4 linked regions of the Struthio camelus genome follow. The protein of the gene in region 4 purifies or fractionates together with the protein of the main gene of each other region. This does not show direct contact. Links are inferred from orthologs where the notes say so. Each region holds a gene or a part of one and is shown on either strand. Other genes may lie near its edges. The genes, in order: KNSTRN, RPA2, SNRPA and PRPF19.

Evidence for each region.
Region 1: the proteins of PRPF19 (region 4) and KNSTRN purify together in Homo sapiens (affinity purification with mass spectrometry; 4 studies listed by BioGRID and IntAct, counting the BioPlex papers as one, with this or other methods). This does not show direct contact. The link is inferred for Struthio camelus from reciprocal best matches to the Homo sapiens genes PRPF19 and KNSTRN.
Region 2: the proteins of PRPF19 (region 4) and RPA2 purify together in Homo sapiens (affinity purification with western blotting; 4 studies listed by BioGRID, with this or other methods). This does not show direct contact. The link is inferred for Struthio camelus from reciprocal best matches to the Homo sapiens genes PRPF19 and RPA2.
Region 3: the proteins of PRPF19 (region 4) and SNRPA fractionate together in Homo sapiens (co-fractionation; 3 studies listed by BioGRID and IntAct, with this or other methods). This does not show direct contact. The link is inferred for Struthio camelus from reciprocal best matches to the Homo sapiens genes PRPF19 and SNRPA.

What each region holds. Positions count from the first base shown.
Region 1 is NC_090946.1:4,863,293-4,870,293, forward strand, and holds the start of KNSTRN (small kinetochore-associated protein), read right to left. Parts: upstream 3,003-7,001; 5' UTR 2,939-3,002; coding exon 2,878-2,938; intron 2,702-2,877; coding exon 2,570-2,701; intron 1,402-2,569; coding exon 1,269-1,401; intron 1,117-1,268; coding exon 1,060-1,116; intron 830-1,059; coding exon 730-829; intron 1-729. Other genes in the region: DISP2 (protein dispatched homolog 2), read right to left, coding at 4,764-7,001. UniProt on the Homo sapiens protein: Essential component of the mitotic spindle required for faithful chromosome segregation and progression into anaphase.
Region 2 is NC_090964.1:2,835,942-2,843,899, reverse strand, and holds the start of RPA2 (replication protein A 32 kDa subunit), read right to left. Parts: upstream 3,011-7,958; 5' UTR 2,742-3,010; coding exon 2,726-2,741; intron 2,517-2,725; coding exon 2,404-2,516; intron 2,278-2,403; coding exon 2,176-2,277; intron 2,058-2,175; coding exon 1,944-2,057; intron 484-1,943; coding exon 409-483; intron 1-408. Other genes in the region: SMPDL3B (acid sphingomyelinase-like phosphodiesterase 3b), read left to right, coding at 3,140-3,191, 3,306-3,519, 5,304-5,401, 5,960-6,103, 6,704-6,876, 7,061-7,241, 7,844-7,958. UniProt on the Homo sapiens protein: As part of the heterotrimeric replication protein A complex (RPA/RP-A), binds and stabilizes single-stranded DNA intermediates that form during DNA replication or upon DNA stress.
Region 3 is NC_090957.1:588,964-596,268, forward strand, and holds the start of SNRPA (U1 small nuclear ribonucleoprotein A), read left to right. Parts: upstream 1-4,294; 5' UTR 4,295-4,540; intron 4,541-5,428; 5' UTR 5,429-5,450; coding exon 5,451-5,523; intron 5,524-5,767; coding exon 5,768-5,940; intron 5,941-6,028; coding exon 6,029-6,205; intron 6,206-6,311; coding exon 6,312-6,452; intron 6,453-6,738; coding exon 6,739-6,830; intron 6,831-6,924; coding exon 6,925-7,084; 3' UTR 7,085-7,305. Other genes in the region: COQ8B (atypical kinase COQ8B, mitochondrial), read right to left, coding at 3-122, 205-219; ACTMAP (actin maturation protease), read right to left, coding at 1,943-2,271, 2,388-2,458, 2,547-2,676, 2,780-2,904, 2,990-3,058, 3,852-4,063. UniProt on the Homo sapiens protein: Component of the spliceosomal U1 snRNP, which is essential for recognition of the pre-mRNA 5' splice-site and the subsequent assembly of the spliceosome. U1 snRNP is the first snRNP to interact with pre-mRNA.
Region 4 is NC_090946.1:3,854,605-3,862,446, reverse strand, and holds the start of PRPF19 (pre-mRNA-processing factor 19), read left to right. Parts: upstream 1-4,836; 5' UTR 4,837-4,956; coding exon 4,957-4,975; intron 4,976-5,761; coding exon 5,762-5,911; intron 5,912-6,525; coding exon 6,526-6,602; intron 6,603-6,738; coding exon 6,739-6,880; intron 6,881-7,071; coding exon 7,072-7,145; intron 7,146-7,226; coding exon 7,227-7,289; intron 7,290-7,397; coding exon 7,398-7,439; intron 7,440-7,576; coding exon 7,577-7,651; intron 7,652-7,842. Other genes in the region: voltage-gated monoatomic cation channel TMEM109, read right to left, coding at 1,666-2,051, 2,362-2,464, 2,878-3,102. UniProt on the Homo sapiens protein: Ubiquitin-protein ligase which is a core component of several complexes mainly involved pre-mRNA splicing and DNA repair. Required for pre-mRNA splicing as component of the spliceosome.

The sequences.
Region 1 (7,001 bases), about 1.0 Mb from region 4:
AATATGGCACAATAGCACACGGAAGAAGCATAAGCTTACATACACCAAATTAACTGAGTTAGTAATACTAAGAATAATGTCAGTGTCCCTCAAATTCTTAGTGCCCAGCAGTGACCTAAATCCAAGTTCTTAACTACTAAAATGCAGGTATATACACTCCTGAAAAACCCCCATCTTCAATACTGTATGCAGTTCCCACACCACGCTTCTTGTGATGGGGTAACAGAACTAGCAGAGATTTGGCAAAGGGAATAAGGATGATCTAAAAAAATTGAATAGCTTATCTGCTGTATGAGGAGAGATGAAGTATGTTAGGAGGTCAGGATGAAAGAAAGAATTAACAGACCAAGTCTTGAGTGGTAATTACTAAGAGATTGTTTACAGTTTCTCACAATGTAACAAGGGAGCATCTGTCAACACTGAGGCTGTTTTATGCAAGCATATAATTGTGAACTTGAAATGTTCTCCTGCAATGAGTTTAAGATGGAATTGGAGCACTGATGACTATTTAACAACAATCTGGATAATTTGGCATTATCTAGCCAAATACATCTGCATTTCTGCTGATAGACCAATGATATCCTGCTAGGACCTGTCAAAGAAGAAAAGATCCAGCCTACTCTTACACTCTACTAGCTTCTGATGGAGACAGAATAACAAGCAAGCATTTGGTCTGACCCTATAGAGGGCAGAATATAAGAATTGCTCAATTAATGTTTTTCTCCTTACCTGTGCTCCTGCTAGTCGGGAGTGCAGTTGTTGTTTAGCTGTTTCTAACAGCTGATTCTTGGTCTTCAGCTCTGTCTCTAATTTGTATCTGCTTAGAGGTCTGTAGAGTCAAACATCAAAGACTTAGGTGCAAAAATATCAGCGTTACATACCCCTTCTTTTATTTTCACCAAGTGTCGTCCTTTGAGTATTTGCTCTCGTTCATGACCAAGAGAGCTTTCATCAGTACACTTGCCAAAAGAAGCTGTATGTGGGGGAGAACTCATCATAACTCTTTGAGATGGAACATTGTTGCATTAGAGCAACTAGTAGCTATTTGAGAAAACATACCCTCTTGCAGCTGTCTTTTTTGAAAGTGGTTCCATTTTCTTGGCAGATTTAGGAAGCCTTAAAAAACAAGAAGAATACTATTACCACAGAAAGACACTGCATATTTACAGATTACCAAGTCTGCTGGTTTGAGAAGAACTGCAAAATGCTAAGCCACTTTCAGGATATTTATCAAGTAACAAATCCATCACTATTTCACTTTCACTTACCCTTGGTTTGTAGCTTTGAAGACACCATCTCCCGGCATATTTGAGCTAAAGTTAAAATTGGGATCCTTGCTAAATTGTAGATCAGCTGTTTTGCTGACACATTGTTTCTTTGGTGGAAACACCATTTGCATTTCTGCAAGAGAAAGACAGCAATGAAAATACCACTGTCTGCAAGAGATCACTGTAATGTGCCAAACTACTGGAGCTACTAAGCTTTCAGTTTGACAAAAAAAAACATCTTACAGGGTTAGAACTGAGAAAGCAACAACTAACTAACAACTAAATTCTACTCATGGTTCAAAACAAGCCACAGATAGCTCATGGCAGACAGTGTTAAAATATAATTACTAGGCTAGCACTAATAGGATAAAGCTTGAAAACAATAATGCAGGCATGATAGTAAAGGAGGTCTCAACATTAGGCAAACAGCAAGCCACAGTGTTCCAAGCAAAGCTGTGCAGCACTGAAAGCAAATATATACAGCCCACATGAAATTCTCAGTGTAAGAGAGCTTTGTATTTTAATTTCCAATAGATATACTTTTGAAATAACTCTAAAGAGAACTAGCTATTTATGTAAAGTTTATTTGGCCATAAAGCACATACATACATGCATAGAGTAAATAAAGCTTTGCTTACAGAGTGGCTTTTCAGAGCTTGTTTTGTGAGCTAAGCCTTTCTCAAATGGCATATCTATATCCAATTCATACTAGAGTTACACAGGGCAGGGGGGGTTCTATTCCTACACACTGGCTCTCATGTTCTAAATTTTAAGTCTAGGTGCCTCATACTTATAACAGGTAAAATGCTGCAAGTAGTATCTGAAGACCTACAGAAGTAAGAGCCTCTGAAGAAAAGTATTTTTAACCTCACAAAGCCACTGCATCCAGATAAGCAGGAGATACACCCTCGGCAGGCCTAACATCAGCACCAGACCAGCAGTCATCTCAAAAGGCTCAGCTGTGATTCTGATAGTAACAGCCCACCCTCCTCAAAAACACAGGTTTAGCCAAGAAATTTTAACTGCAAAATCTTAAGCAGAGATGATGCAGGTGTATAATTTCTATCAGAAGGTAGCCTAGGTTAGGAAAAAACAACAAAAAACTCTTAATAAGATTTCCACAACAGCCACCACAGACCAAGGCAGTATCGGAGCTCCTTAAAAGCTGCCTCCACTCCCGCCGCCCTCTGCGCTGGCCTAAGGCAGACACCCAGCACCGAGGGCCCGGGACCTCGGGGCAGGGCAAGGCAAGGCGGGCCACGCCCTCCCTGCTTGCCTGGCGGAGCCAGGCCGGGACGCACCTGCGGGGCCGCCACGGTGGAGCGCGCCGTACACGGGGATGCGGGAGGGCTCGCTCTCCATCCTGCGCCGCGCCGCGCCGGCCCTCCCCTCAGCGGCCGCCGCCCGGTGACGCCTCTCCAACGGCTGCTCGCCTGCAAGCCCCGGCACAAACACCCTCACCCAGAGGCATCGTACGGCACCGCTCGGGCGTCAAGGCCCATTTCCCCATCCCTCCCCCCGCCCCGCCTTGCCCAGCGCCCCCTCGCCACCGCAGGGCGGGAAGAAGAGGGGAGACGGGAGAGAAGCACAAGAACGCAAAGGCACCTACCGCGCTCGCGCCGCCCGTTTGAATTCAAGCCGGCGCCTAACGGCTCCCGGGCGCGGCACATGCGCAGGCGCCGCCCGCGCGCTCGCCCCGCCCGCGGAGGCGGTGGTGCTGGCGCCGCGCGCAGGCGCAGTGCGGAAGCCGGGGAGGCGGGCAGGGGGCCGTTGTGTTGGGGGTGGGGCTGCGCGCGTGCTGTCTGCCTGCTCTCGCCTCAGGGGAGGGGACGTGGCGGCGGCGCTGGCGGCGGGGCGGCTCTGGCGGGGCCGGGCTCCATCTCGCTGCGGCGGCTCTGACGGGGAGGGTTTCAGGGGTGCCCTCCCCGCCGCCTGAGCCCCGCCGCTTGGGAACTCGGGGCAGCGGGGGCCCTGCGGGCCGTGCCCTGGGGGGAGCTGGGGCCACCCCCTCAGCGCTTTGGGTCGTTAAAGTCGCCCTCCCCTTGGCCCACACCGAAAGGGAGAAGGAGGCTCCTCTATAAAATCCGTTTGCTTGCTTGCTTCCGTGCTCTCATTGTTTTTTTCCAAGCATAACTTTCAAAAGGGGTGGCAAATCCTTCCAAATAATAAGGGGAGGCTGTTGTGCGGAGAGCAATTGGCTTGGTGTTGGCTTCGCGGCTTGAGTGCGGGTCCGCTTGCCGAAATACCGAGCTGAGCACCCAGCGTGAGAGCTGCTCCGCGAAAATGCAAACCCCCTCAGCGAAATTGAAATCAGTTACATGTTTCAGGTTGGGTTACTAGCTGTAAAAGTGCAGATGCCTAATCTACCTTTGGCAATCGCCATCCCTTTCCCACAGAGCAGGCAAAACGACTGTGGGTGTCAGAAGAATGAATCTCTTCAGGTGCATGTCTTCCTTTTGCTGATTATATTGCAAAAGACATGAGACTCGTAAGAGATGAAGAAAATGAGCCACGGTATTGGTGAAAATGAAGCATCACGCAGATTTAGGAAAGTTTGTCATACGCATTTATTTTACGTTAACCTGTAGAGAGAATGTTTTTCTTCTTTCAACAGATAAAGGCCAGGAAGTGTTTGTTTTTCTGTTTGTTTCTGGTAGAGAAAAAAATGTAAAATTCAAGAGTTGTCAGATATGCAAATTTTAAAAAGTTACATGTTTATCTAGAATACCTTGACTGGAAACAAGCTATGAAGACAAAACACAAAGCGCCCAGGACAAGGACACTGTTTTCTCAAAGGGAAAATCTCACGTTGAAAATCTTTGGCTGTACCAGAAGGAATTTCTTCTGGTAAAACAAACTGAAATTGTTACTGAAAATACATTTGGGCTGGGTTTTATTTTTATAGCCTCCGTGATCAGTAAAAGACCATATCAAGTGAAAAGTCTTGATGAGATTGTTTGAAATATCTAAAGTGTTTTGTAGAGATCTGTGAACCTAGACTTCACATAAAACAGTTTCGGAATCAGTAGAAAAAAATGAAAGCCTTTCTTTTTGTTAACAACTCTCTTCACTTGATATCTAGATTTTATATATATATATATATATTTATTTATTTATATGTTTTAAATATGACTTCTCTGTCTTTAAATATCTGGAGAGACTCATCTCTCAGTATTTCTCTCCTGTATGGGTCTGACAAGAAAACAAAATCTAATCACCCTGTAGGAAATGACAGAGAATGTTTACTTGATAAGCTCTGCAGTACAGCTGAGTATGTGGAACAGGACACTGGAAGGTCAAAGAGCTTGTACTGCGTTAAGATTGATCCCCTCACTAGTATTGGATTTGCTGGTTCTGTGAAAACACAGGTGTTTGCACGGCTAAGAAATAGTCTCAGCTCTAGGAGAAATGGGAGGAAAGATGTGATATTTACAGTTCAGAGGAGATTTTGCCTTTCTCCTTTCCCAAGCAGTACGGTTTATTTCCTGCAAAATTTCAACTGCTGTAACCAGCATTTTGTGCACTAGATCGTTTGATCCAAACATCAGGCATATCTGGTTGGCTGTTTGGTAACACAACTGGATCTTCACTCCCTAATCCAAATCGATTTTTCCATGAGGAGCTGTTTTGCTGTGATGCTACTGGCGAGATATCAAACACAGTCTCCCTCAGGTCCAGCCGCAGGGTATCTCTCTTCCCGTTCAAGTAACCTCTTTCTGTTTGACTGTATGAATCTGACAGCTCTAAAACATCTGGACAAGAACTGGCTGATTCAGCAAGTTTTAGGCCTTGCTCAAAATCACTAATTGACGTCTCACTGGAGATGTTGAGCATGTCAAAAGAGCTGCCAAGAGAACAAAGGCATCTGTGAATTTTGTAGATGTCAGCAGCAGGAAGATGACTGTTGTCTGAGGTATAATCTGACTGCTGCTGGGCAGTGTCACTAGAGCACTGTGATTTATTGAGCTGCCCGTCATCTTTCACACCAGCCAGTTGGATGTGGTCCAGCACAGACTCGTCCCAAGCTTTTGGACCGTACTTTTGACATTGACAATCTCTACAGAGCCTCTCCCTTTGAATTTCTGCTCCTGAGCTGCTGTGCTTGTATGGAGAAGACGTCTGTAAGGCAGGGCACTGACACAGACCAACCTGCTGGTCTCCAAGAGTCTCCTGCAGATTCTGTCTTTCTCTTTCAAGAGAAGGGTGCATTCCTGTTCTGGGGCATCTGTTGTCTTCCAGTTGTGTGTCTTCAGACAGTACTGATGGCCGATTGGACAACTTGCTTGTGGAAGTGCTGTTGTCAAAACTGTCACTGAGTTTTCTGGACAAGGGCTGGAGCTCATATTGCTCATTTGCAGTGTTGGACTCCTGGACCTTACGCAGTCTGTTTTGCTTCTCACTTCCCCCACAGGCAAAGCTTCCATTCAGCCCAGAGTCATCAGAATAGTCTTTCATGGTGTGGGCACAAGGCCAAAGGATCTGCCCGCAGTTCTTCTCTGGGCCAAAGAAGCAGCACAGTGACTGGAAGAAGAAGCTGGCAAACCCACAGCTGATACACTTGATCATCATTATGAATATCCCCAGCTTCCTATACGCCAGGACGGTAGCCGGCAACATGATGACCCCTGCAGAGAACAGAGCAGAAGCTGCCATGGCTGTGGCACAGCTCATCTGCTTCAGGGAAAAGGCCACTCGGCTTAGGCGATCAGAATGGGGGCACAAATGGTAGGAGATGCAGTAGTTCACGGTAAAGTCAACGGAGAGACCTACTGCAGCTGAAATGAAGAGAGATTCCACTGCATTGAGCTGCCATTCCAAGAGGACCAAAAGGCCAACAGTTACCAGGACGGTGCCTGCAATAGCAGTAACGGAGAAAACGCTAAGGAGAACGTTCCAAGTGGTGAGCAGCAGCACTACAAAGGAAATGGCTATGGAGAGCCCCATGACCACCATCGTTTCTGTGCTAAGACTGTGCTGAAGATTGTATAGCTCTAGTTTACTGGTAAACCATCCGTTTTGAAGCCCCACGGGGGCAGTTTTCATTTCCTCTGTTATCCAGAGGTTGATTTCCTCGTAGAAATGTTTGGCTTTGCTGTAATTGAAGCTGTAGTGATAAATAGTTTGAAACTGTAGCACTAAGGCAGCAAGATTTCCCTCTCCGTCAAACCTGAGACCCAGATCATATGTTTCAGCCCCTTCCCTACCTTGTTCCAGGAGCATCATTTTGATGCAGTGTAGGAAAACGTCGCTTCCGTACGGGAAAGAGAACTGGTTACAACAGAGGTTGAAGCTGTGGTCTCGTTGGGAGCATTGGCGACTGTCCATCCACCTGAGAAACTCCTCCATGAAGCACACGGTAGATTTCTGCTCAGCATCGGGGTAATAGAACGTTTTGTTCTTCACTTTCTGGCAGAATTCGAGGAGCCACTTCTGGGCATCGGGATTTTGGATTGTAAAGGTGATATCTGTCACTAGGGTGCCATTGCTTTTTGGATTGAAATGATCCCCATTATCCACAGGCAGAATGCCCCATACTATTGTGACAGGCATACGCTGTCCTTCTCCGTGCTCCAGCCTCTCAAACATGAATTGGTGACAGTACTCGGAATCGTACCTCTCAAAAGGATGGCTCAATCTAAACACCTGAACAGATGATGTCTCAAGAGTAGGCAGTTTGAGCTTAGGGTTGGAACAGGAAATGTAGGCACCTCCTATTGCTAAGGCTGCAAACCA
Region 2 (7,958 bases), on a different chromosome or scaffold from region 4:
GTGATTTTCTAACTGGCTAGTAACTAACTGCACTTTGCTTTAATGCACACATCACTATTTAAACAGTGACTATTATGATGTAACTGTATGACATTATTACCCTTTATAAAGTGTCCCCTAGTGACCAGAATAAAATCTAAGCTCTACAGTACAAACATTCAAGAATGTGGTGGCCAGTACTGTTCAGCAGAAAACAATGTACGGATGAACAATGAAATTTTAAATGGATCTTCTGTCCTTTGCACTTAGGAACAGCATTGCCAAAAACATTCAAGGAAAGGCTGACTAAAGATCATGATTAACTGCATATTCTACAAAGACCCTAACACTTTACAAGATCAGTAATCCTTCAAGCCACTGCTCCAACCTCATTACTTGAGGAGTCATACATAAATAACATGATTTTACCTGGAAAGACCGAAGATGACCAGCTACTTTTACGTAAGTTCCTGGAGGTACTACAACATTCTCACCACCTGCCTCCTAACAGAAAGGAAAAGGGGAAAAAACAAGGTTTTCCTGATTCACATTTCCATTTATCCACTATCACAATAAGTGATTTGAGAAAAGAGGCTTATCTCAAGCAAACACAAAAGCCATACATTCCTACATCCAATACGAACAGTTAGTGTAAGTGAAAAATGGAAAAACTAAGTGAAAGGGGAAAAAAAATTCTTCTTGTTTGAATACACTGCATATCTGAGAGCAGCTGAAGCCACTTGTATTACAGCGCTCCGATGTCTTTGTCCGCTTCTGGGGGATCTTCAAAAAGCAACAAGAGGGAAAAAGCCCTGAAGTAGTAAAAAGGAAGTGTTCAGCTATAAAACTTGGGTTACGGTTATGGAAACAGTCACAGAATCCTCTTCTAATTTATGATAAACTTGTCGTTAAGCCGACTGAACATTTGCTTAATTACTCTTTCAAAGTTGTTCGTCTGAACTCAGCTGTTTGCCTTCAAATATGTTTTAATAACAGGGTCCAGCTTTAAAAGCTTGTTATATCAGCATGAGAATCCAGTGGAAAACTACCATCACTTCAGGAGTCATGCATCAGCAATGATGATACTCACCGGTATTATCAGTCACTGAGCCATATACAAAAATCTCTGTTCAGATACTTTCTGTCCTTGTGTTTCTACACAAAGGTATTGAGGACTCATCTCTCACAGAATCACAGAATTGTTTAGGTTGGAAGGGAAATTGGTTGGAAGGGACCTCTGGAGATCATCTAGTCCAACCTCCCTGCCCCAGCAGGGTCACCTAGAGCATATTGCCCAGGATCACATCCAGACGGGTTTTGAATAGCTCCAGCGAAGGAGACTCCACTACCTCTCTGGGCAACCTGTTCCAATGCTCTGTCACCCTCACAGTGAAGAAGTTTTTCCTCAGGTTCAGATGGAACTTCCTGTGGTTCAGTTTCTGCCCATTGCCTCTTGTAAATGCCTCTCAATTCATTTATGAAGCAACGTTCAAGCTTCAGCCTTTAAATACCTCAAAAATTGTTCAGCATGCTTCAATGTAGAAGCGTAGAATTATAAAGCAGGAGGAGACTCATATACAACACTGGTGACCTCTGCTACTGCAACATTTTCCTCAGCTTTTCGAGTTACATTATTCCCAAAACATTTTCCAAACCAGTCACGTTATTTTTTCAAGAAAACGTTAAGTTCATAACAAAGAGAGGGGTAATAAACACAAACATAACACACACAGAGAATTTGATGGGGTGTTTATCACAAAGAATTACTGAAAATGACTAAGAAAACCTAAATTTTGAGTTTTTCTTCCACGCAACAAGGACCAAGCTAAAGTTAGATTCTTGTTCTTCCATTCTTTGCTTACAACTTAAATCTTTTCCATCTTTTCCATCTTTCCTACCCAACTGGTGTTACAAGAATCATCCAAAAGCTCATTCTCTCCGCTGTACTCCCCACTGGTGCTTACGTCAGTATCAACCCACTGTCTGACATCCATCGGGGCCGCTGTCATATCGTCTACTTTGTAGAGAATGTTTGTCGGTGCTTTCTCCGCATGCCGGATTATCCCCATGATAGTGACCTGCATTGGAAGAAGGAAAACGTTACAGTGGGGGACTGGCACGGGAAAGCTGTTGCCACTCGCAACGCTCCCACTCGGGGTTTGGCAGCTCTGCCCAGTGGCCACCCTGGGCGCTTACTTGAGATATCTCCACGTCGCGGATCCTGAAGGTTTCATCGACCTGCTCAGCAGCCAGCAGTTGTGACACAGTACAGGGCACGATGTTCTGGGAGCGGGCTCTCTGCAAGGGGATGCCGAGGGGCCGTCAGCTCCGCGGGCCGAGCGCCTGGCCCTCGCCCCGCAGGGGGCGGGCGGAGCGCCGCGGCCCAGCGCCCCGGGGCCCGGCGAGGCCCCGCTCCAGGCCTACCTGCTTCTTCTCAGCCTGGGTGCCTGCGGGGGAGCCAAAGCCTCCCGGGGACTGCATGTAGCCGCCTGCGGGCCCCGGGCCTCCCACGTTGCTGTAGCCGGTGTCGAAGGTACCTGAGGAGAGGGAGGGAGAGACCCTGAGGCGGCGGCAGAGACGCGCTACCCGCCGCCGCCGCCGCCGCCACCGGGCGCAGCAGCCCCGGCTCCTCCCTCGCCGGCAGCACAGCCCGCCGCGCGCTGGCCCTGGGCACCGGCTCCTGCGCGGCGGCTGCGCGGCAGCTCCCCGGCAGCCCCGGGCCGCCCCCACCGCCCCGGGCCCGCACCCTGTCCGCTCCACATTGCGGCGGCGCCAGGCCTAACGGCAGGCGCGAGACGGACCCGCGTAGTCCCCCCGCGCGCCGCCGGCAGCTGCCCAATCCGCGGGCCCGATAATCCGGCCGGTCAGCCAATCGCAATCGCCTTTCTTCTGGCTCCTTCCAGTGGGGGGAAGCGGCGGGGAGGCTGACAGCGCCATTTTGAGTGCTGGCGCAGCCCGACCGCCGCCGAGGTGAGCAGGGCCCGGGGCGGGGCGGGGCCGAGCGGCCCGGCGGGGAGGAAAGGGGAGGGGCAGGGAGGGGCGGGGCCGCGCGGCGCAGCGGGGCGGGGAGGGAAGGGGAGGGGCGGGGCCGCGCGGCGGGGCGGGGCGGGGCGGGGCCGCGGCCGCGGCCGGAGCAGGGGTAGGAGCGAACCTGGCCAACATGAAGCGTTTCGCGCTCCTGCTGCTCTGCCCGCTCTGCGCGGCCCTCGCAGGTAACAGGGGGCGGTGGCGGGCGGCTGGCGGCTGTCGGGCGCTCGCTCGCTCGCTCGCTCGCTCGCTCGCCCGCCCGCCCCGCTAAGTCGCGGCGTCTCTCCCGGCGGCGGCAGGGCGCTTCTGGCACATCACAGACCTGCACTGGGACCCCGGCTACGACGCGGCGGCGGAGCCCTCGCAGGTGTGCCCCTCGGGCGGCTCCCGGGCCGTGCCGGCCGCCGGGCCCTGGGGCAGCTACCTCTGCGACTCCCCTTGGCGCCTGCTCAACTCCTCCATCTTCGCCATGAGGGGCATCCTGCGCCAGCCCGACTTCATCCTTTGGACCGGGTGAGGAGCCAGGCCGGGCGCGGAGGGGGCGGCCGCGGCCCCGCCACCGGCTGAGCTCGGAACTTGGCCCCGGGCAGGCAGCGGCCGCCCCGCCCGGCGGAGGAGGCTGCGCGGGGCTCGGCGGAGCGTGTCCTCTGCCGCCCCCTCAAGGGTCGGGCCGCTTCACCGGCCCGTCCCTCAGAAAAAAGCGGGTATAGGATAGGCTTTGAAGCTGTACTTCAGCTTTACGTGTAAAAATGAGGAAATCCCAGCTCTTCTAGGCTCGTGTTTTCCATCATTTTGCTGAAGCTCTAGGAGGTGAATACCCATGTTTGCATTTTTAGGAATCTTCTTGTGACAAGGGGGGGGGGAAGCCCAAATAATCCAAAAATTGGTAGTACTGGTTCTGTGTTTACTCACGCTTTCAGTTTATGACATGATCCTGCGTGCTTTGGGCATTGCCAGTGTTTGGCTGAGAGCTGTTATTAGAGAATGGGGAGCCAGAGGACTTGGAGGTGAAGAGTTCACGGTAGATTCAGGGTTCTTAAGGTAACCATTTTGGAGAGGTGAGATTTGGATACGCCTTAAAGTACAAAATGGAGTCTGCTAGTGGAGCTGTACGGAGCTGAGGGCACAGCGAGGCTGTTAGGAGTGGGAGGCCATGCTTTGAACGAGCCCCAGCAATGAGGGATTCTCTGAAAAACTCCAGGTAAGATGAGGGAAGGTGTTAGAATTCACCATCCTTTCTTCTTCTCCAATTGTTGCCAGCCTAGTCTCACTTCACACAAATTTTGAATACCTGAAAATGCTTGGGGGAATGGAACGTATTCATTTTGTTGGTGTACAAAGTCCTGCCTTGTTAGAGGCACCACGAGAAGGGCTTGCAGCATTTCTTCAAACTACACAGAGGAACCTGGAAGACTTACCTCAAAAAGGAGCTAATTTTCTTTACAACTATGAAGAGCCTCCCCAAATGGAGCTTTTTTTGTAGTATGGTGTCCAGAAGTGGCCACCTTACAGGAGGCCCTAATAGCACTTGCAAACAGTGAAAGACTTGTTTGGCATGATTTCTGTAAGTTCATACATCCCTCTGTAATGTTTCCTGCTTCTTCTAACAGCACAGTGTTCGCTATGAGCTTTTGTAACTCCCAATCCTGATCTGCAGCGCTGTTGACTAACCCACTGTTTCCACTTTATATATTTGTGCAGATGATCATTCCTACTTAGAAATAGTTGTTGGTCTTTAAAACTTCTGTCTTGTTTTACATTTTCTCAAACTATTTATCCTCGTTCTTCAAAATCTTCCTGTATTTTAGTCTTATCTTTCAATGGGCTTATAATCCTTACCAGCTGATATTGTCTACATATGCTAAAAGCATATTAGTGAAAACATTGAAATGTGTATCTGCTAGGTTTTTAGAGGTAGATCTCAATGGTCATTGGCTTACTGGAGGCATCCGTTTGTACTCAAGAGAGCAGCAGGATAACAACTCTTCCATTGAAAATAAAACAAAGAGTTTTGTTTTACCACTGCTGACCAAATTTACTACCAGACTGTGAAACGCTGTTCCTCACAAGATCGCCAGTCATCTGTAGCATCTGTTAAATACACTGAGGTAGAATAAGGCTCAATTTCTTATGCTTGTGTATAGGTTTTTCAAGGTAGACTAAAGCAGAGCAGGTTTTTACTGTGAGCAGTTCCTTGAAACTCTCTTAGTGCCCTTGCCAGTCAACGTAGTGCTGATTCGTGCCCCATAATGTTTTTTTGTTTGTTATTTTTTTGTTTGTTCATTTGTTTTCTCCAGAGATGATACTCCTCATGTCCCCAATGAGCAGCTTGGAGAAAAACAGGTTCTGCACATAATTGAAAATCTGACTTCTCTGATAAAACAGATATTTCCAGGTAGGATCTGAGAGAATGAATAGGGGAGAGGAGTACAAAGTCTCATGGGAAGAACTTACCATTCTGGAGAAATGATATAATTAAGAAGGGGAAAGGCACTGAAATGCTGTGGGCATTAGGACTACTTTGTCTTCTTCCTAGTTGCTGTACAGGCTGTTTGATTGAGGCATGTCTAACACACCCTTGCTATTTCAGATTAATTCACTCAGAAGAGTGGAAAAGAAACATTTCTATAACTACTCATTAAGAAAAACGAAGCTACAAAATTTATTCTCGCTTAGTGGGAGAAGAAGTATTACTGACAAGGAAATCTCACTGACTCCATCTGTAAAAACATAGCAGTCTTGCTCTGGGGTGGCTTCCCTGAGGACACATGGTCTTGCAGTATTGTATCCCCAGTCCGTGCAACCACAGGAGTTTAGTGTGGATGATAACCTTTTATGAAGCTCTCCAGCCATGCTATTCTTTTTGAGTCTGTAAGCTCTCTAGAGAGCTTTGGTGCTGAAGAACTCTGGAGCAAGCTTGGATTCCTCTGTGCTTCCTTTTCTCTTTCTCTAGAAACTAAAGTCTACGCTGTGATGGGCAATCATGACTTCCACCCCAAGAATCAGTTTCCAGGGGAGGAGCACAGGATCTACAACCAAACAGCTGAACTGTGGCGCTCCTGGCTGAACGATACTTCCATTCCTCTGTTCAGAGCAGGTGTGGCACCACTAGCCCGTGTCAGCAGTGTCCTGGGAAGATAGGGTGGTTGGGAAAGTCACCATGAACGTGCTGTCTCTGCTTTTATTCCCCAAGCCGCAGTGCTTGTAGAGGAAGGGTCCAATTTAAGATTGATTCCTAGCACTGAGTTTTCCTGCATGTGGGAAAAGGACTTTCTTTATGCTTTAGTCTCTCCGTGCTTTCCTAGAGTTTTAGGAAAGTGTCCCTGCAGAGGATGGTGAGCTTCAGTGAAAATAAAAAAGATCTTTCAAGAAAGCCACAACAGTAGCTATCTATAGCTTCCCAGCTCCTGGACTGTCCTGCACATACTCTTAAAACCCAGGGTCTCTCTTCACCTTGAGTGGCATATGCGGGACAAGAAGACACAGGGAAGAGTCACACCAAATCCATATCCTGGATTGGTCAGAGCTGCTGGTTACTCTGGAACCAGTCAGAGCTGCTGGCACCTTGTCTAGATAGTGACTCTGCTGTGACTATTGCCAAGGAGAGCTGAGAGAGGTAAAAGCCCGGGGATTTGGGGACACAATTGGCTGTGTGGCCAGAATTCCAGCTCTTTCTCCTGCTGGTTGCATTTTACAGCTGCTTTCTACAGTGAGAAGCTGCCCAGCCCAAATACAAGTGGGCGAATGATTGTCCTCAATACCAATCTGTACTATGACCAGAATAACCAGACGGCTGGTGAGGAAGATCCTGGAGGGCAGTTCCGGTGGTTGGAAGAAACATTGACCAACGCCTCAAAAGCAGAAGAAATGGTATTTAAAAAAAAAAAAAAAAAGCCCACACAACAACAAAAGCCCCCATGCCTTTGTAGAGGGCTTCTCCCAGCCTGGAAGGTCCTTTCACTCCTGATCTCTCTTGTGTGCCAAGGACCAGCAAGCCAGTGCTCTCTTTGGGAAGCATGGGATCTACATTCAGCGCAGCTCTTTGCTCTTGTAGGTTTACATTGCTGGGCACATCCCTCCTGGCTTCTTCGAGAAGAAAAGAAGCAAGCCCTGGTTCCGGAGTAACTTTAATGAACGATACCTGAAAATAGTGCAGAGGCACCACAGAGTGATTGCTGCCCAGTTTTTTGGACACCACCACACTGACAGCTTTCGGATGTTTTACAGTGATACAGGTATCAAATCTGGCTACCCAAGTATTTGCATGATAGCTCTGTTCAGTCCCCAAAAAATCATTGTTGAAGAGGGTTTTCGGTGACTGCAGCCAACAAGTCAGAAAAGGCTCATTTACGTCTTGCTTTCTAAAACGTCTTGTAAAATGCTTTGGTCAACAAGACACAACAGTGGATGGGATTCCCCACCCAGACCTGTAGCTCCAGCTGTCCTTCCTGCTTCCCCTCTCATTTGTTGTTTCCTCTCACAGTGCCTTGCTGCTCGTCCTGCTCCATACTGATGGTTTCTGGACCTTAGCTGAGACCTAAGGGAGCAACTGTAGGTCTTCACAATGGCTCTTTGGGTCTCGTTCACTGAGGGTGGTTCTCTTGCTCACCCTCACTGTAGAGTCTTCCACTCATGCCAAGCTGCAGAAGGCCTGCTTTTAGCTGGAAATGTCACGTATTCAATCTCAGTGTGTTGAATAGCATCAGATCTTTCTGCGTGCATTATTGTAACTGGATCTGGTGAGCAATGGGTGCAAGGTGCTCAGTGGTCAGGATGCTCGTTGTCTGCTCCAAGCCAGACCTCTCTGACTCATGGTTTCTTTTGTCTTTCTATTAAGGTTCTCCAATCAATGTCATGTTCTTAGCCCCTGGAGTGACTCCTTGGAAAACAACGTTACCTGGAGTGGCCAATGGAGCCAACAACCCTGGGATCCGGGTGATTGATTACGATCC
Region 3 (7,305 bases), on a different chromosome or scaffold from region 4:
ACCCTCTCGCCGCCGGGGGGGCTGCAGGGGGCGGCGGGGGGGGTCCGGGGCCTCCCCGGGGGGGGTCGCAGCGGCGCCGCCCCCCCCGCGGCCCCCCGCAGCAGCGGCCACACGGCAGCCACCTGCGGGAGGGGTCAGAGGTCACGGCCCGCCCGCCCGCGGGGGGGGGGTCAGAGGGCAACAACGGCCGCCGCGCCCGCTCACCCCGCTCCGCGCCATCGCGCCGCTTCCGGGGTCAGCGGCCCCGCCCCCGCCGCCGGCCAATCAGAGCCTGACCTGCCTGCCGGCGGGCGGCCAATGGGAGAGGAGGGAAAGGGGAGGCTCCGCCCCCTGCCGGGAGGGCGGAGCGGCGGGGGGGGGGGCTGCAGGAGCGCGCATGCGCTGCAGGCTGCGGGGTGACTCTCTCCCCCTCTCCGGCCCCATTGCACCCTGCACCCCATTGCACCCGGCCTCATTGCACGCTGGACCCCACTGCACCCGGGACCCCATTGCACCCGGCCCCACTCCACCCGGGACCCCATTGCACGCCAGCCCCATTGCGCCGGGGGCCCCATTGCACCCTGCACCCCATTGCACCCGGCCTCATTGCACGCTGCACCCCACTGCACCCGGGACCCCATTGCACCCGGCCCCACTCCACCCGGGACCCCATTGCACCCTGAACCCCATTGCACCCGGGACCCCATTGCACTGGGGGCCCCCCTGCACCTCAGCCCCATTGCACCTGGCCCCACTGCATCGGGGGACCCATTGCACCCGGGACCCCACTGCACCTGGGACCCCACTGCATGCCAGCCCCATTGCACCCTGCACCCCATTGCACTAGGGGCCCTATTGCAGCTCAGCCCCATTGCGCCCGGCCCCACTGCATAGGGGGTCCCATTGCACCCTGCATCCCATTGCATCCAGCTCCACTGCACTGGGGGACCCATTGCACCCCAGCCCCATTGTGCCTGGCCCCACTGCACCAGGAGCCCCATTGCAGCCTGCACCCCATTGCACCCTAGGCCCCATTACACCACAGGCTCCATTGCACCCAGGACCCCATTGGAGCTGGGCCCCACTGCACCGGGGGCCCCATTGCACGAGTGGACCCATTGCACCCTGCACCCCATTGCACCTCAGCCCCATTGCACCCTGCACCCCACTGCACCCAGGACCCCATTGGAGCTGGGCCCCAGTGCACCAGGGGACCCATTGCACCCTGCACCTCACTGCACCCATCCCCATGGCAGCCAGGGCCCCATCGCTCCCTTCATGCACCTCCCAGGGGTGCTCTGTCCCTGCTTGCCAAGCCCCGCCCCTCCCCAAGCCCCGCCCCCCCATGCAGCCCCAAGATCAGCAGCGGCCGCGACCCCTCTGGGACCCCCAGGTAGCCCCGTTCCCAGCCGGTGGGTGGGAAAGGACCCAGGCGTCCGGGCCCCACCCCCAGGCAACCCCACCCCTGCCTCAGCCTCCCCCTTAGCCAGCGACAGGGCCGCAGAGGGGACCCAGGTGTCCGGGCCTGCCTTGGCCGTGCCTCAGTTTCCCTAGGCTGGCTCCCAACGCTGCGCGCGGAGCAACGGCGTCGGGGCGGCGCGGGGGTCCGCTGCGGTGCAGCGGGAACCGACACGAGCACGGCTCAAACGTTCGCCTTTAATCGCGTGTGCGGCCAGGGCGAAGCAGCGTGCGCGAGCCTGGCGCGGGCTCGGCCCTTCTCCGCGCCCGTTAACGGCGCTTCCCGGAGGCGAGCGGGACAGCGAAGCCTTCCCCGGACGCAGCGGCTGGATCGGCAGCGGGAAGTGTCCTGGCTTCCCCCCTCCGCAGCAGAACCGGGGCGTCTTCTCCCTCCAGGACCGTCCCCTGCCCGCGCCGGGGGGGGACGCGGCGGCGCAGAGCAGGGCGGGCTCGCCGGCAGCGAGCCGGGACGAGGCCCCGCGTCGCCCCCACGTCGCGGCGGTGGCTACACGCCGGGGGCCGGGGGGTGCAGCAGGACGGCCTTGCCGCAGAGCCCAGCCCGCACGCCGCCCGCCGGCACCACGTAGACCTTGCCGTCGCCCGCCCGGCGCGGGCTGAAGTCCGTCAGCTGCGCGTTGCTCTCGTGCAGCCGCCCGTAGCCCCAGAGCTGCACGCGGCGGCTCTTGCCCTGCTTGGCCAGCAGGAAGACCTCGGCCAGCTCGTCGTCCGGCGGCAGCCGGGGGGGCCCCGGGCCGGGGTGGAAGAGGCCGGGGATCTCGGCGTCCTCGCGGCAGCCGGGGCTCAGCGCCGGGCTCCTCGCACCCAGCAGCGCGCCTGCAGCGGAGCCGCCGTCAGCTCTGCCGCGGGGCGACCCCAACGTCCCCGCAGCGGGGCCAGGGGCTCCCTGGCGGCGTCCCCCCCGCCCCGCTCTGCCGCCGGCGCGGACGTACCTGAGACCACGGCCCAGTGGGCCTTGTGGCCCTGGCGGCAGCAGGGCTCGTGGTTGCTGTCCTCGTCGTAGCTGGGGCGGGCGTTAAGGGGCACAACGGGGGCAGCGCGGCGCGGAGGGGGCCGGGGCCGCGCGGCTCTGCCCGGCGGCGGGAGGATACGGCACGAGCAGGGGCCGGCCGGCGGCGAGGTGCCGCAGGATCCGGGGCCGGTTGTCCCCCTCCAGGCCCCCCGAAAGCAGCTCCGCGCGGCACGGGAACAGCTCCTGGGCCAGCGTGGCCATGTCAGCCGCTGCGGGGGCACAGAGCGGGCAGGGAAATCCCGGTGGTCCCCGCCGCCGCCCCGGCACGGCGCCGACGGGGCTCGGAGCGGCCCCCCCGCCGGCCCCCCTCACCTGAGAACATCTCGCCCTGGGCGGTGAAGGCCCGGTCCCGCGCCGCCTGCACGATCTGCTCCAGCGAGACGCCCTGCGACGGCTCCAGCAGGGCCCCGGCCATCCACAGGGCCACCAGCCCGCACCTGGAGGGGGCCGAGCGGGGCCGTGGGTGGCCGGGACCCCCCGGCCCCCAGCCCCGGCCTCCCCCCACCCCACCTCGACACTTACTGGGGGCCCTCCTGGATGAGGGACGGCACCGGGCGGTGGACGAGGAGCCACTGCAGGTCGCTGCTGAAGCTGGGGGGAGGCAGAGGCTCAGCAGGACCCTGGTGACCTGCGGGGGGGGGGGGGGAACATGGCCCACGCGGGGTCCAGGACCCCCCCCCCCGGCCACCACAGGGGGATATCGCCACGGTCCGCCCCGGGACCCCCCGTCCCCCAGGTCAGGCCGGGACCCCCCGTCCCCCAGGTCAGGCCGAGCTCCCCGGGTCCCTCCTTTCCCCTGGTTCATGCCGGACCCCACGGACCCCCCATCCCCTGGGACCCCCCATTTCCCTGGGTCATCCCGGGACCTTCCAGGACCCCCAATTCCTCAGGACCCCCCCATTCCCCCGGATCCATCCCAGGCCCCGGGACCCCCGGGACCCCCCGGGTCAGGCCGAGCTCCCCGGGTCCCTCCTTTCTCCTGGTTCATGCCGGACCCCAGGGTTCCCCGTCCCCCAGGACCCCCCTCAATCACCCGGCTCATCCCGGGCCCCTCCGGGACCCCCAATTCCCCGGGACCCCCCATTTCCCCGGGTCATCCCGGGTCCCCCCATTCACCGGCACCCTCCTGTCCCCCGGGACCCCCCATTCCCCCGGATCCGTCCCAGGCCCCGGGACCCCCCGCACCCCAGGCCCCTCCGGGACTCCCAATTCCCCAGGACCCCCCCCATTCCCCCAGGTCCATCCCAGGCCCCGGGACCCCCGGGACCCCCCGGGTCAGGCCGAGCTGCCCGGGACCCTCAATCCCCCGGGACCCCCCCCGGTTCATCCCGGCCCCCGGGACCCCCCGGTTCAGCCCGGGACCCCCCCGGGCCCCGGCGCCCACCTCTCCCGGCGCCGCCGCAGCAGCTCCCGGAGGTCGCCGCCGTCGCGGTCCGCCGACTCCGCTCGCTCCAGCGCCTCCCGCAGGAAGCGGCCCGGGGGGGGCGGCGGCGGCGGCGGCGGCGGCGGGGGGGGGGGCGGCGGCGGGGGGGGCGGGGCGCACCGGGCGGGGGCGGGGCCTGGCGGCAGCACCGCCCCGGCCCCGACCAGGGCCATCCCCTAGGCCAAGGTCAAAGGGCGCCCGGGCCGGAGGTGAGAGGTCATGGCGGGGAGAGGGGTCAGAGGTCAGGCCGCCGTGCGGCAGCAGCACGTGCCCCCGCGCCGCTGCCCTCGCGCGTGCTTCCGGCCTCTGCTCCGCCCCTTCCGGGCCCCGTGACGGAGCCGGCCAATCGGACCAGACCTCGCCGACCGCGCTCGACCAATCGCGCAGGTGGTGGGCGTGGCCGCCCGCCGCTCCGCTGGGGAGGGGGCTCCTCAATCCCGAGGGAGGGAGGGGCGGGCGGCTCCCAGGCTACGCGTTCTGATTGGCCGCCCCGAGACGGGTCACGCGGTTCTCATTGGCCGCCGAGCTAGCGCCTGCCGCGTTCTGATTGGCGGCCCTCGCTATTGGCGGGCGAGAGCGAGGCGGGCGCGCTGCTATTGGCGGGCGGCGAGCAGGGCCTGGCGGCGGCGGCGGCGCGCTCGGGGCCCTCGGTGAGTGGCGGCGGCGGCGGGTGCCGCCGGGGCGCGGGGCGGAGCGGGAGGGCCCGGGCGGGGTGGCGGAGGCGGCAGCAGCCCCCGCCGCCACCGGGAGGGGAGCCGAGAGGCTGGACGGGCCTCACGGGTGTCTCCACATCCGGGTCCTCCCCCCCCCCGACCTTTGGGGGGGGGAAGGACCCGGATGTTCCCCCCCTCTACTGGGAGGGGGAAGGACCCGGATGTAGTGACCCCTGGGGGGGTATTGACCCCTTCCTCTCCGGGGGGGGGGGGTCAGGGATCCTTCCCCCCGCCCCGAGCCCGGCTCTGGGGCCCGGTTCCTCCCTGAGCCCTTGATCTGGGGGGGGGGTCTGGGGTCTTCCCCCCCCCCCCCAGGGGGTTGAACCCTACCATGGGGGTGTCTCCTCCCTGAGCCCCTGATCGGGGGGGGGGTCTGGGGTCTTCCCCCCCCGAGGGGGTTGAACCCTCCCATGGGGGTGTCTCCTCCCTGAGCCCCTGATCTGGGGGGGGGGTCTGGGGTCTTTTCCCCTCCTGGGGATATTTAAAGCTTTCCTGGGGTTTTTTCCTTCTCCAACCCCCTGGATTTGAGGGGTCTGGGGTTTTGCTCCACTCCAGGGGAATTTAATCCTTTCCTGGGGCTGTTTCTTCTCTCAAGCCTCTGGGTCTGGGGTCTTTCTCCCACCTTGTGGGACACGCCTAGACCCTGGACCCTTGCAGGGACCTATTAGCCCCCACGCCAGGAGGGCTCGAAGGGGGTGACCCTCTTGTTTCCCCCCCCCATCATTTGCACCCGGGTTAGGGTTCTCACTGCCTGTGGGGGCACAACTGGGACCCGCCGTCCCCCAGTGCCGTCGCAGCCCTCTCCAGCCTGGTCTCTCCTCGCAGATCCAGGTGTCACGTGTTCAGCATGGCTGTCCAGGACGCACGCCCCAACCACACAATCTACATCAACAACCTCAACGAGAAGATCAAGAAGGATGGTGAGGGGCGGCCTGAGCAGGCAGAAGGGGAACGCGGGAGGGGTGAGGGGATCCTACCTTCATCTAGGCCCTGGGGTGCTTGTGGAGGCAGCTTTTTCTTTGGTTTGTCTGAGAAAGGTCAAAGTTGTTTGGCTGCAGAGGGAAACGGCCCATCTGTCTCCAGGAGGAGGCCTGCTCTTATGAGCAACAGCTGCTCATTCTCCTTGCTGCTCAACACGTGTCAGACTCGAACTTTGTCTCCTAGAGCTGAAGAAGTCCCTTTACGCCATCTTCTCCCAGTTCGGCCAAATCCTGGACATCCTGGTGTCCCGGAGCCTGAAGATGCGGGGTCAAGCCTTCGTCATCTTCAAGGAGATCAGTAGCGCCACCAACGCGCTGCGGTCCATGCAGGGCTTCCCCTTCTACGACAAGCCCATGGTGAGCCCTGCCCACCGCGCTGCCGGGAGCCGGCCCCCTGGGTCCGCAGTGCCCCCCTGACGTGTTTTCCTCTGCCTTCCCTCCGCAGAGGATTCAGTACTCGAAGACAGACTCGGACATCATCGCCAAGATGAAGGGAACCTTCGTGGAGCGTGACCGCAAGCGGGAGAAGAGGAAGCCCAAAGGCCAAGAAGCTTCCTCAGCCAAGAAAGCGATCGCTGGGGCTGCGGCTCCGGTTGCGTCCGCAGTCCAGGGAGCCGTTCCCGTGAGTCAGCTGCCCGGAGCTGCCGCAGAGAGGGGATCGGAGCGCCGGGGCCGCGCTCGGGGCGGGTGTCGGGGGTCTGGGCGTTGAGCTCGTCTCTCTCCCGCAGGGAATGCCGCCGATGAACCAGGCGCCCCGCATGATGCACCACATGCCAGGCCAGCCGCCCTACATGCCGCCACCGGGCATGATCCCGCCGCCCGGCATGGCTCCCGGTGGGATCCCTCCCGGGGCTATGCCCCCCCAGCAGGTGATGCCCGATGCCCGGACAGATGCCCCCAACACAGCCGGGGGCTGGGCTTCTCCTAGCGCCCCAGTACGGGCACTGGGAGCCCAGGTGCATGCGGGCCGAGAGAGAGTCCAAGGGAAAACGTGCCAGCCCCAAACCTCACAGGCTGCAGGGTGGCCCTGTCGCAGGAGAGGGGCAGGGAACGGGACTCGGGGCCTTCCCTCAGCTCCTCTGGGAGCGCTGCGGGAGGCCAGGAGGTGCCCAGCTTCCCCCCAGAGCCCCTCCGGGCTGACTCCGGCTCTCTCAGCAGCTCTCGGAGAACCCGCCCAACCACATCCTCTTCCTCACCAACCTGCCCGAGGAGACCAACGAGCTGATGCTCTCGATGCTGTTCAACCAGTGAGTGCAGGCCGGGGCCGGGGAGGCTGCGGGCACGCGGGGAGGCACGGCGGGGGCGGTCGGGGCCCCTCTCACTGCCCGTGTCCCCCGCCAGGTTCCCCGGGTTCAAGGAGGTGCGCCTGGTGCCGGGCAGACACGATATCGCCTTCGTGGAGTTCGATAACGAGGTGCAGGCGGGAGCCGCCCGCGACGCGCTGCAAGGCTTCAAGATCACCCAGAACAACGCCATGAAGATCTCCTTTGCCAAGAAGTGATCTCGCAGGCACCGAGCTCCCAGGACTGCTCCCTCCCCCTAGCCCTGCCTCTCCGTCCCCAGCCAGCCCCCTCTGCGGGGCTCGCTCGCTTGTTTTTCCCTCCCCTAGAAGGTAAGTCTGTCCCCGAGGCTGGCTGAGTCTTTGCCCCCCAGCCCCTCTCCTTCCCCCGCGGCACCCCGGGGTCGAACGGAGCCGGACCTCCGCCTGCCGCATCCACCGCG
Region 4 (7,842 bases):
ACTAGGAGGACACTGGGCGAGCCTGGGGGGATAGAGTCAGACAGAGTCAAGCAGCCAGCCAGACCAGCACCAGCCAGGTGCCGGTGGTGGGGAAGGCTGGAGGAGGATGGGAAGGGGGAAGGGGACAGATCCCGGCACGCCTAACCTCCCTCCTCTCCTCCAGCCTCAGCAAACAGATGGAGACAGACATGTGCGCGGCCCGGCGTGTTGCAGCCTGTTATGGGCCCCAGGCGCCCTTCGCCTGCCCCAGAAACACAAGACCCACACCCAGCACGCCTGCCCTGACCTGCGTCCCCCAACCAGGGGCAGAGCAGGTCTCAGGGATGCCACTGAAGCCCCACTTAGGTCTCCAAGGGTTTGGGGTCAGGAACAGACCGTCCCTTTGTGCGTGGTGGGGAAACAGCCTGGCGCAACGGGGACAGAGCCCAGCTGGCGTCCCCCACCCCACAGAGGGACCCACCAGACTGGGACACAGCACAGCCAGGGGCCCCAGGTGGCAAGCACAGAGCCGGCCACTTAGGAGATGTTAATCCCCTTTCCACGCTGCGCGGCAGCGCCAGGGCTCGCTGCCCCAAAAAAACCAGTCAGCCAGCGGGAGGGACAGCTGGGACAGCACCCCGGCTCGAGCCGCCGACTCAGAGCCCTGCTCCTGTGACATCCCAGCCCCGGGGCGGCCTCACAGGATGCCCACGCCGCTCCCCACGCAGGGCGGCCGGCCACAGTCTTTTCTTTGCCGCTTCTCTGCTGGCACAGGAAAATGAACTCCCCAGCCCAGCCAGGCGGTGATTAAATAGTGTTTATTTGGTACCACGTATCAAAACAGTTTAAAAAGCAGCTTAAAAAACAAGAACCGACAAAGTAGGGTTTTGGCAGCTGTCCCCTAGAAAAGGTGCACGGCAGCAGTTTGGCACCCACCACGCACAATCGCAAGCCCCACTTTTGGGGAAGGGAGAGAAATCGCTGCTGCTCTCCCCAAAGGGAGGTCCGTGGCTGGAGACCCCCCCTTCCGAGAGACACTCAGAGGAGCGGAGCAGGTTCCCAGCTGGCTAAGCCGGATCCTCTCCCTCCTGCCTAGCCACGTCCGTACCCGCACATGGGACAGATGGACACAACGGCTTTGTGCTTGGCATGGGCAGATGCATGGCACTGCTGCCAGGCCAGGCAAACGCACCACGGATTAAAACGCTTTCCCCTTGCTCTCCTCTTTGGTGGGGCTGGGTTTGGAGATGGGGAGCGAAGGGAGTCGCTAGAGCCAAGGCCCCCCATCTCCCTCCGTGGGTGCAGGCTGTGTAAGGCACCGCTGGCTAGAACTAAGGCACTGCAGCGCGTGTGCAGGGAACAGGTCCCCAGCGCCGTGGGTGCTGCATGGAGCAGGCGCCCTGTTCCCCTCGCTGGGACCCAGGGCTCTTGGGCTGGAGTTCCTCCTGGGCTGGCTTAAACATGCCTACCGGGAGAACTGGGGGGGAGCGGGTGGTGGAAACAGGAAGGGAGGTGCACCAAGTGGGGGGACCCGGTGGGGAGGGCAGAGGTGGGGTGCAGGGGTGCAGCAGGGGGGACGCATGCTGGGAGTGCCGGTACGGGGAGCGGGCCGGGGCCAGGCTGCCGGGGTGCACTGGAGACAGCGCACCAGGAGCAGACCATGCGCCGGGGTCTGCTGGCGCCGGCTCACTCCTCCTCCCGGTTCCGGGGGCCTCCCCACTTCTGCCGCCGCCGCAGCTCCTCCACCTTCCACTCGAGGCTGCGCACGGTGGCCTCCAGCTCGGCACCAGGGCCGCGTGCCCCCGCCAGGCGCCCCAGCAGGGCGTAGAGCACCCAGAGCCCCAGCAGCAGCCCCGCCTGCACCGTTGGGTTCTCCTGGGAGGCCACGATGTAGATGAAGGCCCGCAAGAAGCAGCACAGCTTCACCCACCACAGCGCGTACTCCAGGAGGTCCAGCACCAGCCCCAGCAGCCGTGACAGCAGCCAGCAGCTCACCAGCATGGCCAGGCCCCACAGCAGCAGCTTCTGCACCTCGCTGGGGCCCAGCCTCACAGTCTGGACCAGGAGGTCCCCTGGAAAGAAGAGCATCAGAGCTAGCTTGGCCATGACCCTCCCGGCAAGGGACGAGACTCTCCTTGCCCGCAAGAGGCTGGGAGGGGTGTCCCTGTCCCTCACCTAATTGTCCTCGGGAGCAAATCCAGGGCAGTGTTCCCTGGAGCCTCCACTTCTACCAGTGAAGGGAGGCCATGGGCTCCACCAAAGCAGCCCCACAGACTGTTCTCTCTGGGCCTCAGTTCCCCCTCCCATGCTTTGCCTGGCCTGCACTCAGGGCAGGGCTGGAGTCAGGGGACCCCAGGGAACGCAGCGGCAGCGCTGGCTCACCGTTCAGGCCAAAAACAGTCAGGATTTCTCCCAGGATCTTGCAGAGAGTAGTCAGAGCCATGGAGATGCCCGAGGACACGGTCCAGAGCACAGCGGAGAGGCTCTGTGAGGAACAGGGAGAGACAAAGCTGCTCAGCATCGTGGGCTGGGAGAGACAATGCACCAGGGGAAGGGAAAAAAGCTTTGCTGCCTCTCCCAGGAGGGACGAGCAGGTACCAGCAGGGCTCACTTCCCTGCTGCTTGAGGCCGGATGGCTCAGTGGGTGGATTGGCAAGGGACGGCTCCCACCACAGCTGTGACAGCTCTGGTGTCCAGGCAGAACAGATCTTCCTATAAGAAGATCTGAGCCCCCTGGGTTTCCCTGCCCCCCAGGGTGAAAGGTAGAGGGGCCCCCAAATCCCTCTCTGGGATGCAGGCTCCCACATCCTCTGCAGGGCTTTGCGGGAGCCAGCAGGAACGTGGGCACCCTGCTTGCCCCTGCCCCTGCCCCACTGGCGGCCGGACAGAGCGCCTCACCTCCGCCACCAGCTGCAGGGGCTCGCGGCCCACCAGGGTCTCCAGGGTCTCCCTCGCCGCTCGGCCCAGCCGCGAGAGGAAGTCTTCGGTGACTTCGGTGTCCTGCCTCCGAAAGCCTTCCTGCCCATCCTCCATCCTGCCCGCTGCCACCCCGAGAAAGGTGGCCCCCAGGATCAGAGCCAGCACAGCCCAGAGCAGGAGCCAGCGCCCCGGATCGCTCCCCATCTTCGGTCTTGTGTCCAGCCCAGGAACCTCTGTGGGGGAGAGAGAGAGCCCGAGTAGGCGCAAGGCTGGACAGGGCAGGGGCCCTGCTGCCCCCGCGCTGGCGCAGGCACTAACCAGCTGACACCTTCCCCGCAGTGCCAAGGCCACCTCGGCTGTCAGTCAAGCCTCAGCCCTGGCCTCAGCCCAGCAGCTTCCTCAGCACACCCAAATTGCTCCCAGCACCGGGGCTTGGCAGCGGCTGCCAGTGCCTGGCCAGCGGGGCCCCGCGCCAAGGCTGGAGGTGTCACTGCCCCCGGCCAGCGCGAGCGTCCCGCGGGGAGGCAGAGCCCTCGTCCCCAGAGCTGCCGAGGGGCTGGGTCGAGCGGGGCGCCGGGCGCCTGCTGCTGAGCGAACCCCGGCTCGGCCGGCTGGGGGGCTATCTTTAGCAAGCCGTCACTGGTGGGCCCCAGGCCACGTCAGCGGGATGCCAGGGCCGGCCGTGCCCAAGGGCAGCTGAGCCTTGGCGGGCAGCTGGGGGCTGTGCGGGGGGCCCTGCCGGGTGGCCGAGCCGGGCGCCCAACACCCATTCCCGCCCCCGGAGGGACAGCTGCGCCAGGGGCCAAGGGGCACTGTCTCCACGACCGCCAGCCCCTCCAGGACACCCTGCACCCCCAGCACCCAATTCTACCCCAGCTCTTTCCGCAGCCAGGTACCCTATCCTGCCCCGGCCCTTCCTGCCACGTCCACCTGGGCTTCCCAGTCCTCCTTGGCCCCCGAGGTACCTCATCGTTACGGGGTGCCCCATCTCTCCGCATCTACAGAGACCACACTTCCTGGGGTATCTCTGTCTGGCTCCTGGGTGCTTCCATTTCTCCCCATCCCCTAGGTGCCTCCAATCGCACAGGACCCTGGTTCCCAGGTTCTCCAGCTCGCCCACCCCCCAGCACCCCACCCTCGCCCCTTCCCGTCTCTCCCACCCCCAGCCCCCCACCCTCACCCCTTCCCATCTCTCCCACCCCCAGCACCCCACCCTCGCCCCTTCCCGTCTCTCCCACCCCCAGCACCCCATCCTCACCCCTTCCCGTCTCTCCCACCCCCAGCACCCCACCCTCACCCCTTCCCGTCTCTCCCACCCCCAGCACCCCACCCTCACCCCTTCCCGTCTCTCCCACCCCCCGCACCCCATCCTCACCCCTTCCCATCTCTCCCACCCCCCGCACCCCATCCTCACCCCTTCCCATCTCCCCCCCCCGTTCCCCCCCCGGTCCCTCCCGATCTCCCCCAGGGACCCACCTCCCGGGAACCCCACGCCCCTGCTATCCCCTATCTCCCCGGCCCCCCCACCCGCCTCGGTGCCGCCCCCCGGGGGGCCCCCCGCCCCCTCCCCTCCCCTCCCCTCCCCTCTCCCACCACCCGGCCGGCAGGGGGCGGCGCTCACCGCCGCCGCCGCGCGGGGGCGCCGCAGGGCCGCGCCGGGGCTCCGCGCGCGCGCCCAGCCTCGGTTCGGAGCCGCCCGCGACGCGGGGCACGCCGGGAGCCGTAGTCCAGGGGCCGTGCACCCCGCGGCATTCTGGGCGCTGGTCGCCATGGCAACGCAGCCCTCGCCGGCGCCTGTTGGGCGCGCCGTGGACGGGGGGGCGGGGGGGGGGAGCCGTCGCCGTGCCTGCCCCCGGTGCACGCCGGGAGGCGCCGTTCCCGCGCGGGAAGGGGCGGGCGGAAGCGGCGGGGCGGCCTTCGCCCCCCCGGCGCGAGGCACGCCGGGAGCAGTTCCGTTTCCGGCGGCGGGGCCCCGCGTGAGCGCCTCGGACCGTCGCTGCGGCCGCGCGCGCCGGACCCGGACCCGGAGGCGGCGGCGGGGCGGCCCCGGGGCCCGCCATGGCCCTCATCTGCTCCAGTGAGTGCGCGGCCGCGGGCCGGGCCGCAGGCGGCCGCGGGCCAGGCTCCGGGGCGGCGTTTCGTGCCCGTGCCCGTGCCCGGCCGGCCCCGCTTGGCGGGGCTTGTGTCGCCGTGAGGAGCCTCTTCTGCCCCCTCCGCCGCGCTCGCTGTCGCGGCCGGGGGGTGCGGAGCAGGGCGCGAAGGGCCTCGACTCTCCCCTCAGCTCTCACCTGCCGGCGGTGCTCCGCGAAAGCAGGGCCGTTACCCCAAGGATGCGGCAGCACGGAGAAAGGGTTCTATCAGCCGGTGCAGCTACCCGCAGCTAGCAGCTGCCTCTCCGATCCGCCAGCTGAGAGGAGAAACCTGCTGCTGACGCCTTGTCTGAGCAGGCAGCACAAGCAGGGAGCGCTGGGGGCCTGAGCCACACTCGCGTAGTAGTATAGAAAGATTTCGGAAAGCTTGCTAATAGCTGCCTTTTGAGGCGCTGACCTGGGTGCGCTTGGCCTCTGGGCCTTCACTGGCTTGGCTGATGGGGAGGGGAGCGATAGATGTTTTGCTAGTGTGGCATAGAGGTGGCAACATACGTCTTAGAAGGAGGTCTGGTCTGCCTCTCGTATCAAGGGCATGTTGCACAGTGTAGTTGTATTCTTGGGGAGGACTTCAGTTTTTTGGGTAGCCCTTTTTCTCGCTTGTGAGAGGCAACAGGCCAGCAGGGACTGCCAGCACTTGAGCCATGTCAGGACCTAATCTTATGCTATGCAGTGGTGCTGTAATTTGTGCAATCTTCCTTCCTTTCTTCATACAGTTTCTAACGAGGTGCCTGAGCACCCCTGCGTGTCACCAGTCTCCAACCATGTCTATGAGCGCAGGCTGATCGAGAAGTACATTGCAGAGAATGGGACCGACCCTGTAAACAACCAGCCTCTCTCGGAGGAGCAGCTCATAGATATCAAAGGTAAGAAGGGCATGTGCCAGGAGCAGAGGCGCCCAGAGCCTGAGTACCTGTGCTTTGCAATGCCTGTACTGCTTCTCTCTGGGGAAGCACAGGGGTCTCGGCTGCATCAAGATTGGGGGCACAGGACAGAGATGCACAAGCCATTTTAGGCATAGGCAGGTAGATTTATGAACGTGGATAATGCTGCCAGAGAAAGGACTTGGAGAAGCAGCAGCAGAGTAGAGTCAGTGCAGCAGTGATGTGCAACTGAAAAAATCTGTGATCTGCAGAGGTGGGATGTGCACAGCTGGGGTTTTAGGTATCTTGTGTTGCTGTGCTGTGGGCTGTGCCCAGGGCAGACTGCCAGATAAACTGGACCAGTGGCTGTATCTATTCTGGCAGCAGCTCTAAGTCATCAGGAGAAAGTGCTGGGACCCTGAGAAAAGATTTCCCAAGGGACTGGTCAGTCACTGATGCAGTCAGAAAGCTGAGCTGAAAGGATGGATTGCTAGAAGATGTAAACAGAAAGGAGTGTGTGTGTGTATGAAGGGACTGGCAGGAAACAGGTTTTTTAGGTGATGCTGAGGACACAGTTGACCCCAGAGACTGATATGTTCACACTATCTCCTTGACAGTCGCCCACCCAATCCGACCCAAGCCGCCATCTGCTACTAGCATACCAGCCATCCTGAAAGCCCTCCAGGATGAGTGGGTAAGTGCTGGCCCCTAGCTGGGTTGGGGCTGAGAATGGAGCGGAGTACCAGTGCTGGCCCCTTCGGGGAGAAAGGGCTATCTGCACTGGGGCTAATGTGTTCCCCTGCCTGTCTGGCTCTTCCTTGTCCTGCCAGGATGCTGTCATGCTGCATAGCTTCACCCTCCGTCAGCAGCTGCAGACTACACGCCAGGAGCTGTCCCACGCACTCTACCAGCACGATGCTGCCTGCCGTGTCATTGCTCGGCTCACCAAGGAGGTCACCGCGGCCAGAGAAGGTGACGTGGAGTTGTGTGGGGGCTATGTACCTCTGGATAATGTCCTGGGTCTCGGGGAGAGTGGGCTGGGGAGCAGAGGGCACTGTGTGGCCCTGGAGCAGGTGGGCTCAATAGAGATCGCTGGGCTGGACACCATCTCCTTTTGCCTTCAAGTGGCCTGTCTAACTTATAGGCTTTCTCTGCCTCTGCAGCCTTGGCAACTCTGAAACCCCAGGCTGGCCTCATCGTGCCCCAGACGGTGCCATCCTCCCAGCCAAATGTGGCAGTGAGTTGAGACTGCATATCTCTGCATGTTTGCCCTTTGTTTCCTTTCTGGATGTAACCAGCCCCCTTCTGTCTTGTACAGGGTGCTGGGGAGGCCATGGATCTGGGAGAGCTTGCGGGCATGACCCCCGAGATCATTCAGAAGGTAAAGGATCTTCCACTTGTGCTGCCATGGCCTTTGGCAGCTGCTGTTCTCCAGTTTCCCACTGTGAGAGCTGAGTCAGTGTGTTACCAACCTTCTCTTGTTTTGCAGCTTCAAGACAAGGCTACGGTGCTGACCACGGAGCGTAAGAAGGTGAGTGGCTGCATCTTGCTCTGGGGGATGGAGCTGAGTGGCTTTGGGTGATGTGAAACAAGGTGCTGTGGAAATCAGGATGTGAAATGCCCCTGAGGGAGGCCATTATTTGCCTCCATGCTATTTCTCTTCTGCAGAGAGGGAAGACGGTTCCAGAGGAGCTGGTGAAGCCAGAGGAGCTCAGCAAGTACCGGCAGGTGGCTTCGCACGTGGTGAGTGCCATGGCATGAGACAAGGGCTTGAAAACTTAGCCCTGCCAGCTGGGCATCCAGGCATCTCCTTTGCTGCTTTGCAGCTTAATGAGCAACAGATTTGCTGCTGGGCAACGCAGGGAGAGGGTCATGGCGTTCTGTGCCACAGCCGGTCAGGGGTAGGGGCGTGTGCTGGAATAGATGTGGCACAG